Tribolium castaneum: one gene and its partner. The protein of the gene in region 1 binds, or shares a complex with, the protein of each later gene. Links are inferred from orthologs where the notes say so. Each region holds a gene or a part of one and is shown in the gene's direction. Other genes may lie near its edges.

The links. Proteins that work in one complex are often made in the same cells at the same time.
Region 2: Caf1-55 (region 1) and Myb share a complex: the UniProt entries of both Drosophila melanogaster proteins name them as parts of the DREAM complex. The link is inferred for Tribolium castaneum from reciprocal best matches to the Drosophila melanogaster genes Caf1-55 and Myb.

Annotation. Positions count from the first base shown.
Region 1 is NC_087399.1:661,835-665,838, reverse strand, and holds Caf1-55 (histone-binding protein RBBP4), read left to right. Parts: upstream 1-1,183; 5' UTR 1,184-1,321; coding exon 1,322-1,343; intron 1,344-1,443; coding exon 1,444-2,562; intron 2,563-2,683; coding exon 2,684-2,826; 3' UTR 2,827-3,003; downstream 3,004-4,004. Other genes in the region: tudor and KH domain-containing protein homolog, read left to right, coding at 1-206, 260-564; hgo (homogentisate 1,2-dioxygenase), read right to left, coding at 3,215-4,004. UniProt on the Drosophila melanogaster protein: Core histone-binding subunit that may target chromatin assembly factors, chromatin remodeling factors and histone deacetylases to their histone substrates in a manner that is regulated by nucleosomal DNA.
Region 2 is NC_087396.1:14,748,569-14,752,636, forward strand, and holds the end of Myb (myb-related protein B), read left to right. Parts: intron 1-742; coding exon 743-937; intron 938-991; coding exon 992-1,276; intron 1,277-1,332; coding exon 1,333-1,491; intron 1,492-1,549; coding exon 1,550-1,663; intron 1,664-2,531; coding exon 2,532-2,630; intron 2,631-2,705; coding exon 2,706-2,825; 3' UTR 2,826-3,318; downstream 3,319-4,068. Other genes in the region: E3 ubiquitin-protein ligase Topors, read left to right, coding at 3,704-3,853. UniProt on the Drosophila melanogaster protein: DNA-binding protein that specifically recognizes the sequence 5'-YAAC[GT]G-3'. Component of the DREAM complex, a multiprotein complex that can both act as a transcription activator or repressor depending on the context.

The DNA of each region.
Region 1 (4,004 bases):
TCTTGTCGCTGCTGTGTTCCAATACGACAGCAAATGGTACCGGGCTGAAGTGCTCAGTCTGAGTGACGATAACCCGCCCCAAGCTGAACTCTACTATGTTGATTACGGGGACACGGATTTGGTCCCCGTTGAGGAATTGTACGAGTTGAGGACCGATTTCCTCCGACTGCATTTTCAAGCAATTGAGTGTTTTCTAGCACGAGTTGGTACGATTATTTATTTATTTTTTTGGGCGTTTGGTGGGTAAGTGGGTTTTTAGATCCCGTGGGAGAGAGTTGGTCGGTGGAAGCCGTGGATAAATTCGAAGAGTGGACACATGTGGCGCAGTGGAAGAAACTGTCGGCGAAAATTAACGGATATTGTGTTAGGGAGAAGACGAGGGCGAAGCGCGAGGGCTCTCCGGTCCCCGGTGTTGATTTGTTCGATGTGAACGGTGAAAAGGACGTCGATATCGCACAAGAATTGGTTAATCAAGGGTTCGCTGTTTTTAAAAGAGACGTGGATTTGAGGCCGAGCAGTCGCGCCACGAGTGTTAGTAATATTAGTGTAGCTTCGAGTTCGTAGTTTTTTACCCAAATTTTTCGAAATAAATTTTTATCGCCCTGTTCCTCAAGTTACTTAATTCATTTTTACATTGCTCTTATTTTTATTTATTTTTACGTTTTAGGTGCAATTAATTATTTTTTTAATATTGAGTAACCCTTTTTTAAATTTTGAAAGTTTGTGCCTTAATGATTATCTTCAATATTGTGATCTTGCCCGAGATTCCATTTATATTTCGTTGAATAAACCCTCTTAAGTTACCTGAGTTTTTTTTTAACCTCCACCTCTGTAAGTAAACGTGCATTATTTAATAAATCCTAAAGTGTTAACTTGAGCTGAAAAATTAGTGAACCAGACTCAAGCTGCATACTCTATTTTTTCTACAACCTGATTATAAGTTATATTAAAAAAAATCACTGAAAATTAATTCAATTGTGAATTTTAAAGTTTTCGGTTCAACACACAATCGTGCTCATCGCTTTCAGTCGCATAATTTTTACTCCCTGTTGCCACGTTGGCTCTCAATTATATATTTTTTCCTTCTATTTTTTTAATAAAACATTGGAATACCATGACTATGAAGCATCGAGTTAGCTAAATCAAAACGTACCACCGCCAAAATTTTGGCCACGGTTTGCTTAATTTGAATCTGCTGACTTGTGGCGTTGTGGCACCACTGTTCCAAATTGGCGGGCTAGCGTCATATTTAGTGGACGGCTCATTCATTTTTACTTGAATTTATCAATTTTAACATTATTCGTTTGTGTTCGTTGTAACAATGGGGGATAAGGGAGACTCCGGTAAGTATTTTCTAGTTTGCCTCGCCAAAATCACGCTTTTTTTGTAACTTTGCGAACGTAACCTTAAAACCCGGTCAACTGCACAAAAAATCTTACACAGAAACCTTCGACGACGCGGTCGAGGAGCGAGTCATCAACGAAGAGTACAAGATCTGGAAAAAAAACACCCCTTTTTTGTACGACCTTGTAATGACACATGCCCTCGAGTGGCCCTCTTTAACCGCCCAGTGGCTGCCCGATGTAACGCGCCCCGAGGGCAAAGACCACTCCATCCACCGCCTAATCCTCGGCACTCACACCTCCGACGAGCAAAACCACCTCCTGATCGCCAGCGTCCAGCTCCCGAACGAAGACGCTCAGTTCGATGCCTCGCACTATGATAACGAAAAGGGCGAGTTTGGCGGTTTTGGCTCAGTTTCGGGGAAAATTGAGATTGAAATTAAAATCAACCACGAAGGAGAGGTGAACAGGGCTCGCTACATGCCCCAGAACCCGTGCGTTATAGCCACAAAAACCCCCTCAAGCGACGTGCTAGTGTTCGACTATACGAAGCACCCCAGCAAGCCTGACCCCAACGGGGAGTGCCACCCGGACCTGAGACTCCGGGGGCACCAGAAGGAGGGCTACGGGCTGTCCTGGAACCCCAACTTGAACGGCTATTTGCTCTCGGCCAGCGATGACCACACGATCTGTCTCTGGGACATTAACGCGACCCCGAAAGAGAACCGAATTATAGACGCGAAGACCATTTTTACGGGGCACACTGCCGTGGTGGAGGACGTCGCCTGGCACCTTCTGCACGAAAGTCTCTTCGGTTCGGTCGCAGACGACCAGAAATTGATGATTTGGGACACTAGGTGTAACAATACGAGCAAACCGTCGCACACTGTCGATGCACACACTGCTGAGGTTAACTGTCTCAGTTTCAACCCCTATTCGGAGTTTATTCTTGCAACTGGGAGCGCTGATAAGACTGTAGCTTTGTGGGATTTGAGGAATCTTAAGTTGAAATTGCACAGTTTTGAGTCGCACAAGGATGAGATTTTCCAAGTGCAGTGGAGCCCCCATAATGAGACTATTCTGGCGTCGTCGGGGACCGATCGCAGGCTGCATGTCTGGGATTTGAGCAAAATCGGAGAGGAGCAAAGTCCGGAGGATGCAGAGGATGGGCCTCCGGAGCTCCTCTTCATACATGGGGGCCACACGGCCAAAATTTCAGGTAAATTAATAATCTTTTTTGATATTTTTTTTTTTTTGTGTAAATAATCTTTAGTCGTATTTACTTAACGTTTTCGTAATTTTTATCAAAGTGTAATTAGCGTTTAATTTTTTTTCCTTAGATTTTAGTTGGAATCCCAACGAACCGTGGGTTATTTGTTCCGTGTCTGAGGATAATATTATGCAAGTGTGGCAAATGGCCGAGAATATTTATAACGATGAGGAGCCCGAGCAACAGGCCGATATGGAAACTCCAGCGAATTAGTCTAGTTTTTTTATTTATGTTTAGTTTTAGTGTTACCTGTAAGCATACCACGTTCTCGTTTCCTTTACTGAAGTAATTAAGTGAAAGTGTGACCATTTGTGTTTATCAAACTGAAACATTATGTTATCCACAATATTTTAAACATTTTTTACAAATAAATAAATACTTTGTCCAGAACACTTGTTTTATTTACAATCGTTCGAATTTTAATCATTTATTACCCGCTAACAGTCAACATTTCCGCCAAGTTTCATTAAAAAAATTTTATGACACAGGTCGAATAGAAATTGCATAAAAAATTATCTTCAATTCCTGATTTATAAATCAGGATTAAAAAGGCTTATTTACAAAAACACGAATTGTAAACGTAGTAATTTATTGAAAAATCTCATTTCGGGCCGGTAAAGTGGCTCTTGAGCCCTTGCCAGCACTGGTAGTACTCCGGGTCCAGCTTCTGGCACGTCTTAGCCCCCCACTTGGTGACAGCCAACCCCAAACAACTCTCAAACATGAAGGCCTGGGTCCCATCAGCCACTCTGGCCGGCTTCAAAACCTCGACACTTGCCGCCTCAAAACAATTAAAATCGGGCCCGTGCGGAGTCATAATACTGTGCAAAGTGGCCCCTCCTGGCCTAAAACTCCCTCTCTTCGCCTCATACTCCCCGAAAATAAGCCCCATAAACTCGGACATGCAATTCCTGTGGTAGTAAGGCGGCCTGAACGTATGTTCCTGAACGGACCAACGCGGCGGGAAAATCACGAAATCGGCAATTGCCGTGCCCTTTTTCTCAGACTGACACGTCAGGACGGTGAAAATCGAGGGGTCACAGTGGTCGAAAGACACCGAATTGATGACATTAAAGCGGGCAAGGTCGTACTTATACGGCACGTAATTACCGTGCCAGGCCACCACGTCAAACGGGCTGTGGTCTTGTTCACACACAAACAATTTGCCCTGGTATTTGGCCACGACTTCGTATTTTGCGACATTACGATCCTCGTAACATGCCACAGGAGTGAGAAAATCGCGGGGGTTGGCCAAACCATTCGCCCCAATTGGGCCCAAATCGGGGAGAGTGAAGTGTTGCCCGAACACCTCCAAAATGTAACCACGGGACGGTTCCTCAATTTCGACCGAAAATCGCATCCCTTGCTGGATGACGCAGATTTCGTTCGGC
Region 2 (4,068 bases), on another chromosome or scaffold:
ATTAGATAATTATGTGCGAAATACCACTTTCGAAGATAAGACCTCTGTGCCTTCTAATAAACGATTTAAACCGCACATTTACGAAATTTTATTTTGGCTTCACCAGCGACAAACAAATCATCAGTTAGATATTTAACAACTGTTTTTTTATTTGTTAAATGAAAAAAATGTTTCATCATTCTTTTGTTAGTTATTATAATAAGGCAATAAATTGACTTGAATATGATGGTTTAAGTAGTGATATCTAGTACAAAAACTGTGTAAATTTATTCAGAGATATAATTAAATTAAGGCACAGTCGCATAAAAAAAGAGCAAGAGATGTGTAATCTTTTTTTTCTGAAAGAAGCAATAAAATGGGAACGGTTCCATCTTATGGAAATTTAATGACCACTCAAATCCAATTTTTTTTATACCAATCGATAGCTTTTATCGAAATAATGAGCAATTCGTACCTTTGCAAACTTTGTAACTTTTTTAATAAAGGCAGAATTAATGATTGGAAAATTAAAAACGGTAAATGCAAATTGCATTGGAGCAAAAAAAAAACAGAGGAGGGGAAGTTTGAGAGTCTATAAGTCATCAAAGTTGGTTGTGGCTGTGAGGTTTTTTGATTTCAAAATTAAATAATTGTTTATGATGACGGGTTGTAGAAAAAATAAAATATGCAGCTCGCTTTTAATGGCCATGTTTTTAATATTTGGGCATAATTCAGTTGATTACAGTCCATTGTTATTTTGTAGAACATCGACGAATTTGCGTCTATGTTGGGCTACAGCACGAAACCAACCAACAACAATGGCACCTCCCCGATAAAACAGTTGCCGTTCAGCCCTTCACAGTTCTTCAACAGTCCTGGCTTTTTAGAGATGCCTTTATCCTCAACGCCCGTCAAGAGATTCCCGACGACACCATTGAAAGATCGATCGTTAAAACCTGTACGAAACATTCAACTCGTCTTCTGACCACAATATTTAATTTTTTTCTTATAGGACTACAGTCCCTTGAGCACCCCCAACGGTCTTTCAGTCAAGGTGGAAATGCTGAGTTCCACAACCGACCCAACGGTGACACCCAGCAAGCGCTCGTTCCAAAGTATGGACACGCCCCGTACCCCAACGCCCTTCAAGAAGGCCTTAGCCGACTTGGAGAAGAAGTCCGGCCCTATAACGCACCTCCCAGACACGCCAACTCGTCTGGAAGACATCACGGAAATCATGAAGAAGGACCAAGATATCAGTTCGAATTACGAAACCGACACCAGTCTGATGATTACAGTAATTTAGTCACAGTTTAATGTGGTGTTTTTTATTGATGTGTGCTTGACTTTTAGAATGATAGTGGTTACATGACGGGGAAGAGAAAAAATGGGAACGGGCTCGCTGAAGGCAAGGAAAACGTTCTTCCGAATAAGCGAGTGCGGAAGGCTTTGGCGCCGTCTTGGGCCTCCACCTCGTCGCAGGATATGTCGTCGTTCGCTGTGGAAACTCCCGTAAGTTGCGATTTTTGCGAATCAAATTTTCGACATTGTACTAATTGTCTGGTTTTAGAGTAAATCGTTGGGCGACGATCCCTCAGCTCTGTTCTCCACGCCGTCTTCGATAATGAAAGACTCTTTGGGAGTGACCGGACTGATGGATTTTGCTCAGTCAGGATCATCCAAGGTACATGGATGGTTTCATTTCGGAGATAATTTATTCCCCTCCTAATCCTGCCCCCTTTTTGTTGAGTTAACAATCCTGTACCTGTTCCCATGGTCCCTTATTAACATGTGTCTGGGATTAATCGCTTCGAAATTCTATTTTTCTTCGATTTTTAGGTCTAGGTTGTAGTTCTTTTTTTTTGTACATTTACTTGTTTTTATTTTTTATTGGCCACATTTTGTTTGGAAAATTTCTTAGTCTAGTGACAAAACCAATCTTGCATGTACCGTGAGTCGTACCTACACTTCACCTTCTAGTCTATGCCAACTTAAAAGTTGCGCATAAAGTCACCAAAGTCCATGATTACCATTCCTCTTTTTGTTCTTCAGTCAGCTTTTGCCATCGCACAGAGAACGCAAGTATTGTCACACTATCAGGGGCCGGTCGCGCTGACACAACCGACGGGGTTAAACCTCGGTCACGTGGTTATGTCGGCTGAGACTCGGAAATGTTCTTTAACAAGGCAACTGATTTATTATTATGACATTTGTGTCTTTAAATATTTATTTTGATTGTTAATTGTGTTGTTATTACGGTTTGAAGAAAATGCGAAGCATAAATGCAACAATGAACAAAGTTTAGCGTTACCAGAATAGTCACGCCCGGTTGTTTTTAATTATTACTAAGATATTGTGTAGATAGAGCACTTGAGTACTTAAGTAAGTAGTGTTGTTGCACAGAGAATCCACGCATTTTCTCCTAGTTTTTAAGAAATTAAGTTGCTCCTCTTTCGCGGGGGCTCTTTGGGGGTGTTAATGCTAGGCTTGGGGAATCAGCATGTGGTCGTTTGTGTGGTGGTATTGTAGCTTTTTTATCCTTGTCCCGGCAGCGCCTGCCATCTGCCAGTGCCCCCTCCCGCGCCCCTGGTCCACGAAGCACCGCCGCCAAGCGGATCACTTTTGAGGATACTAGGCCCAAAGCTCCAAAGGTGAGCACTCGCCCATTTCCCTCCCTCCACGTCCGCAAAGCGCCGCCTGATAGTAAGGTTCCGTTTTTCTTCCAGATCGAGAAGATGTGGGCCATGGTTGCGTGCGGCAAGACGCAGGACCAGATCGACCTTACTAAACGAGCACACAATTTTTTAAGAACTACCAGCTTGAAACCTCGTTCTTTAAATTTTTAAGAAAATTTTGTACATATGCGATTCGGTTTACACTTTGTAAATAGAATCTTTTTTACAAATAATTTAGTGCAAACGATTGTATTGTAGATTTGTCGGCTAAATTCAATAAAGCATCACCGGAGTGAGGTTTCGTTTACGGCTTCACTTTACTTCTTTTTAACTACGTGTAATGTATATAGACTTTTCACTGAGTAAATGAAACCTTACTGAACAAAAACCATGTATAGAACTAGTCTACCATTTTTCTTGTATAATTGTTTTCGTAATTATATCTTTTAATATATACAGTTATTAGAAAGGACGCCCAAAGGTTGAAGTTGTAATTTTATTGCCATGGTAGGTCTAGGTCTCTTTCTTGTTGTCCTTTGGGTTGTTTCGCTTATAAAGCATGCTTCAGTTTAATTTTTGCATCTATTTAAAGAATGTGTTTCTGAATTTATATTTATTTTATAATTTTATGTCACTAAATAAAATTGGTACTTTTGTAAGAATACACCGCATCGTTGTTTTTTTCCGCCCCGAACTAAACTTTTCGGAAGTGCCCCGTATTACATAACAGGAAAATCACCAGGTGGCAGCTGGTGTAGTTTTCCGATTGCGTTGGCACCCCTGCTTCAGATGTTTTATGTCAACTCCATGATCGGTACACAAGACGTTCCTAGAAGTGATTTTTGTGGTATTTTCTTAAATTAGAGCAACTTGGAGGCTAAAAAAGCATTAAAATTAGCGTTTTTGGTGCAGTATTGTTGTTGCGTGAGTGGATAGTGTGTCTAATCGTAGGAAAATCGCGAAACTCGCAAGGTCAGAACTAGTGGATAAATCAACATGACTTCATTCATCTCCGGAGTGCATTTGCAGTGAAATCGAGTTTTAGTGATATGGCAGACAGTAAACTGGCAAGCCCCCGTGCTGACACCGCTAGCCCGCCCCCACACTGTGCTATCTGCTTGGGGACGTGCAAAAACAAATGTCGGGCCAATTCCTGCATGCACGAATTTTGCTACAGTTGTTTGTTGGAATGGTCTAGAGTGAGTAAATTTGTAAGATTGCGACATTATTTTCATCGATTGTTCATGTATTTTCACTTGCTGATGGCCCGGTGCACTGAAATAAGAAGTACTACAGCTAGATTATAATTTATTTAGGTACAAAAAATTTCCAGCTCGCAAGAACGAAAAACCTTTAATAGTTTTTGAAAAGTCATCATAATCAGGATCATAGTCTTAAACCGCAATGATGACCT